Kluyveromyces lactis: one gene and its partner. The protein of the gene in region 1 purifies or fractionates together with the protein of each later gene. This does not show direct contact. Links are inferred from orthologs where the notes say so. Each region holds a gene or a part of one and is shown on either strand. Other genes may lie near its edges.

Evidence for each region.
Region 2: the proteins of NFS1 (region 1) and ACP1 purify together in Saccharomyces cerevisiae (affinity purification with mass spectrometry; 4 studies listed by BioGRID, with this or other methods). This does not show direct contact. The link is inferred for Kluyveromyces lactis from reciprocal best matches to the Saccharomyces cerevisiae genes NFS1 and ACP1.

Annotation. Positions count from the first base shown.
Region 1 is NC_006040.1:421,903-425,449, forward strand, and holds NFS1 (cysteine desulfurase), read right to left. Parts: upstream 2,141-3,547; coding exon 647-2,140; downstream 1-646. Other genes in the region: LEU2 (3-isopropylmalate dehydrogenase), read left to right, coding at 1-89; PET8 (Pet8p), read left to right, coding at 2,648-3,472. UniProt on the Saccharomyces cerevisiae protein: Catalyzes the removal of elemental sulfur from cysteine to produce alanine. It supplies the inorganic sulfur for iron-sulfur (Fe-S) clusters. Plays a role in both tRNA-processing and mitochondrial metabolism.
Region 2 is NC_006040.1:238,907-241,181, forward strand, and holds ACP1 (acyl carrier protein), read right to left. Parts: upstream 975-2,275; coding exon 609-974; downstream 1-608. Other genes in the region: type 1 protein phosphatase-activating protein SDS22, read right to left, coding at 1-232; guanine nucleotide exchange factor DCK1, read right to left, coding at 1,291-2,275. UniProt on the Saccharomyces cerevisiae protein: Carrier of the growing fatty acid chain in fatty acid biosynthesis. May be involved in the synthesis of very-long-chain fatty acids.

The DNA.
Region 1 (3,547 bases):
GTGTCAGAACCGGTGACCTTGGTGGTTCTAACTCTACCACTGAGGTTGGCGATGCTATCGCCAAGGCTGTCAAGGAAATCTTGGCTTAAAGAGTCTTTTGTAACGACCCCGTCTCCACCAACTTGGTATGCTTGAAATCTCAAGGCCATTACACATTCAGTTATGTGAACGAAAGGTCTTTATTTAACGTAGCATAAACTAAATAATACAGGTTCCGGTTAGCCTGCAATGTGTTAAATCTAAAGGAGCATACCCAAAATGAACTGAAGACAAGGAAATTTGCTTGTCCAGATGTGATTGAGCATTTGAACGTTAATAACATAACATTTTTATACTTAACTATAGAAAGACTTGTATAAAAACTGGCAAACGAGATATTCTGAATATTGGTGCATATTTCAGGTAGAAAAGCTTACAAAACAATCTAATCATAATATTGAGATGAAGAGAAAGATAAAAGAAAAAACGATAAGTCAGATGAGATTATGATTGTACTTTGAAATCGAGGAACAAAGTATATACGGTAGTAGTTCCCCGAGTTATAACGGGAGATCATGTAAATTGAGAAACCAGATAAAGATTTGGTATGCACTCTAGCAAGAAAATAAAATGATGAATCTATGATATAGATCACTTTTGTTCCAGCTTAATGACCTGACCATTCGATGGAGTTCAAGTCAATACCTTCCTTGACCATCTCCCATAATGGGGACAACTCTCTTAGGAAATCAACTCTTTCCGTGATAGCCTTGATAACGTAATCAATTTCTTCATCAGTGGTGAATCTACCAATACCGAATCTGATGGAAGAGTGTGCTAAAGCATCATCTTTACCCAATGCATGCAACACATAAGATGGTTCTAAAGATGCCGAAGTACAAGCAGAACCAGAACTCAAAGCAATATCTCTAAGAGCCATCAATAAGGATTCACCTTCGACATATGCGAATGAAATGTTAACACAACCTGGGTAACGATGGTCAGCAGAACCGTTTAAGATTGTATGGTCAATAGATAACAAAGCGTTCATTAATTTGTCAGATAATCTTTTAATGTGATTTGAGTCGTTCTCGTATTCTTTCATCATCAATCTTGCTGCTTCCCCGAAGCCGGCAACCAAAGGTGGAGCCAATGTACCAGAACGTAAACCTCTTTCTTGACCACCACCGGAGATAAGCGGATCTAATCTGACTCTTGGCTTTCTTCTAACGTAAATGGCACCAATTCCCTTTGGACCATAAATTTTGTGTGAGGAAATGGACATCAGATCTATTTTCATTTCGTTCACATCGATAGGTATCTTACCATAAGCTTGCGCTGCATCGGTATGGAAGAAAACTTTGCGTTTTCTACAAAGTTCACCAATTTCTTTCAATGGTTGCATAACACCAATTTCGTTGTTGACGGCCATAACAGAAACTAAACAAGTTTCAGGTCTGATCGCAGCTTCCAACTCTTCTAAATTGATCAAACCCTGCTCATCAACATTCAAAAATGTGATTTCGTATCCTTCGTTCTTCATAGCTCTGGCGGCTTCTAACACACACTTGTGTTCAGTTCTTGTAGTGATAATATGGTTTCTTGTCTTCTTGTAAAACCTTGAGACACCCTTCAAAGCCATATTATTTGATTCTGTAGCACCGGAAGTGAAGATTATCTCCTTTGGATCAGCTTTGATAACATCGGCGATGTATTTTCTTGCTTGTTCGATCTCCTTGTTAGTTTCCCAACCATAGCTATGAGTATTTGAATGAGGATTACCATAAAGCCCCGTGTAGAATTTCAACATGGTATCTAGAACTCTTGGGTCTGTTGGAGTGGTAGCTTGCATGTCGAGATATATAGGTCTTGTACCGTATTCCCCGGATTCACGGTATGCATGTTGCAAAGAATGTATACCACTGTCCAAAACATCGGGATTTGACACGGCTCTTTCGTTGGCTTGCTCAATAGCTGCTGCTTGGTTATCTGTATGCGTTTCCAAAGTCAAATCTTCTGCTAAGGCAACCTTGGCACTTGCATACGTCCGTCCCTGTAAAACAACGTTACTAATATCAGCACGCTTCAAATAGCCAAAACCACCAGCAACGGGCACACGCCTGGAAAAAACACTCACTCCTCTTAACAATGTCATCGTCATTACAATATCTATCTTAGGATAGTAGACTGTTGCTTGAAACTTGTATACGATCTTAGAACTATAACTCCTTTTAAAACCGAGCTTTTGTCCTTAAAAACAATGAACAAAAAAACCTGGGATATCACTGAAAGTACACTGAATGTATCAATCAATTCTTGTTTCTAAAATTAGGTCTTGTACTATCAGACAATTTCCTAATACGCAACTGAGAATATAGACCCTTTGTTGCTCTCTAAACTCTTCTTCTCCTCTATTTTGATTCTGATTCTTGCATTAGTCAAGATGTGTTTCCCTCCCAAATTCCAATTATTTTCATTTCTCGATTTTTTTTCCTCAAATCCTATGTTGAAAAAAAAAGAAGCCAGAGCAGTGAACCGAACATATACATATGTATGATTTAAAGATTTGCATTTGTTGCACCATCACCTGGTTTGAAAGACGAATTGTACATCAATTACAGACTCAGACGAGTCTTTTATAGATCGGAGTTTGGGGGAATAGTGCGAAATGGATTCTCAGATGTTTATTGCGTCCTTGGTGAGTGGTGCCGCAGCAGGAACGTCGACCGATCTGGCATTTTTCCCAATAGACACCTTGAAAACCCGGTTACAAGCTAAAGGTGGGTTTTTCGCCAATGGTGGATACAAAGGTGTGTACCGTGGTCTTGGGAGCGCGGTTGTTGCGAGTGCACCAAGTGCTTCTTTGTTTTTCGTTGCGTATGATTCGATGAAGTGCTGGTCGCGGCCTGTTATCGGTCAGCTTTTGCCAAAAGGTGAAGATCAAACGGCAGATACGCTTTCGCATATGGTCTCTTCTAGTTTTGGTGAGATTTCTGCATGTATGGTTCGTGTTCCTGCTGAAGTGATCAAGCAACGGACACAGACTCATAGGACAAATTCTTCTTTGCAAACTTTGCAGGCGTTACTACGTAATGAGAACGGAGAAGGTTTGCGCAGGAATCTGTACCGTGGCTGGTCCACTACCATAATGAGGGAAATCCCGTTTACATGTATTCAATTCCCATTGTATGAGTATATGAAGAAGAGGTGGGCCGAGGTGCAAGGTAAAGAGCGCGCCGCGCCTTGGCAGGGGTCTGTTTGTGGGTGTATAGCCGGTGGGATCGCTGCTGCTGCCACGACGCCATTAGATGTGTTGAAGACGAGAATCATGTTGCACCATAAGTCCGTCTCAGCTCTTCATTTGGCCAAGACTATGTTGCAAGAAGAAGGTGTCAAGGTCTTTTTCAGTGGTGTTGGACCAAGAACAATGTGGATCAGTGCTGGTGGTGCCATCTTCCTAGGTGTCTATGAAACTGTTCATTCATTGTTCTAGGAAAAAGATTCCCCCCCTCAAACCAATGTACATAACGTTCGAAGCACACGGTGAATGATCATAATAATAATAAAA
Region 2 (2,275 bases), about 180 kb from region 1:
CTTTCAAATGCACTAAGTCAATTACTTCGGTGTCATCTGGTATCTCTGCGGCCAATTCTGCATCTGCAGATATATAGTCAGGGTTGTGGTCTTCTATGACGTTCGATTGTAACGAGCGTCCCGCTGTGAACAACCCTGAAGATGATTCGTCCGGGGAATCAATACCAGTCTCTATTTCCTCATTCGTATTTTCATTATCAGTATCACTCAAAACTCTCTCTTCACGGCTCATTTTTTATATATTGGAAGTATATGGGTTCGGATCTAATACTAAATGGCGTTTATAACCATTGTCTTTACCTCAACAACCGTCTGTCTAAAGATGTGGTTTGCATGTTACATAACCTTAAAAATTGAACTCAGTGATCATTGGGCGCAAGGAAAAATGTTTGAATTACAAATCATATGACCCGATGGAAATCAAGTTCAAACATATGGAGTAATAAGGATATACAAATAGACGTTTACATATAGCACTTTGGCCATGAAACAGTTCATCAAAACTATCTTATCTTTCATTATAAGTTATATATGTGTGTCAATATATGTACATTCTTCCACATTAAATTCTGGTAAAACCGAAGGGCAACGTTTCGGATCCCAATTGCTTAGTTAGCTTCCGGGCTGGAAGCGATGTATTCCACAGTTTCACCGACAGACTTGAGCTCATCTGCAACCTTATCTGGGAATTCGATATCGAATTCTTCCTCAATGGAAACCAACAATTCAACGGTATCCAATGAGTCTAATCCTAAATCCTTGGAAAATTGAGTGTTAGCAGTAATCGAAGTAGCAGAAGCTGTCTTATCAAAAGATTTAATCACATCAGCAATACGGGTTGTGATTTCTTCTTTGGATAGAGAAGAAGAAGCATAGAACCTGGAAGCACTTGAAAAAGTTGGCTTTACAAATCCGCTTCTCAATCCAGAAACTCTGGTCAAACTTGGGGCAGCACGGAATACACTTCTAAACATCTTTGCTTTCCTTCTTTATCTCTCTGTAATATCACTAGACACTATACTGTACAGTAACAACGATCTGAAATAATCGAATGTAAAATAAAAAGAATGTACAACAAATGATCGTTGAAAATAGTTGTGGTAGAAAGGTTTAATCCAAACTCTCTCTCTGCAAAGAATTGGCTTTTGATCGATTTTTTACCGGGAAAAATTGCTTAGGCACATAAATCACTCCGTACGTTTTGATGTTTTCCTAAATGTATTTGGATTGTTATATAGACTACATGAGGTGAGAATTAGAACAGTTGCAGTGGGAGAAAGTTATTCTATGCTATCTTGTGCTTCTTAGCATGCTGATATGTGTGGTAGGACGAGATATTCTCGTAGCATGTGACGCTGCGTGAGATGGCGCGTTGCTTTTTGTAGTTCTATGGGAAGAGGTAACGGTGAGATCATGCATACTGTTTTTTGTTGCACTTCCGTTACTTCCAGCAGATCTGATAGAGTGGCTCTCTGAGAATATGGATCTTGACATTAGCATACTACTTCTCTTGGAAAAACTTTGCTGAGATGACTGGATTGATTTTATTCTTGCGATTATTTCGTCGTTGGTCTCGTTGATATCGATTCCGCTAACTTTGATCTCTTTTTCGAAATTCTTGGCGAATAAGTCCTTCAAAAGCGTATGTGACTTGCTTAAGCTGATTGGACACAGCTGTCCGTGTAGTGCGAGACAACGGTTTAGGACAATGGTCAATTCGTTGAACGCAGCAACTAATAATTCCACATCAGCAGGATCTAGTTTCGATTTGGTTTCTTCATCCGTATAGAATACACGATACTCTGCAATACCACCGTTAATAGGTGCATCAATGGTACCTGTGATATTTCTTGACAGTTCTGAAAATACTTCAGAACAATCGCCGTTTTCTTTCATTAGTTTATAGCACATGTCTTCAAGTCCGCTCAGTTCTTGGATCTTTTGTTGTAACGACTTGATGGCGTTGTTGATTGGTGATAGACGTTTCTCAGTGACTTTCACAACTTCGGATCTATTCATTAATGTTGGGAAAGTGGATTTCGTTTCAAAAATATACTCTATTACCCATAGATCAGTGATTCCGTGTGTCCCAGCAACTCTTCTAGAACTGCTAAACGTTTTCAAATCCCTGTTTTCTACGTACAATCTGACCTTGTTATTGTCATTCTTCTTGTCACTGGTGGCATACTCGTCTGATATTTGCAACCTTGGTTCCACACTGATAACGTGGATGAATTTACCATTCGGTGGCGATACCAATAACTTATCCGCTTCA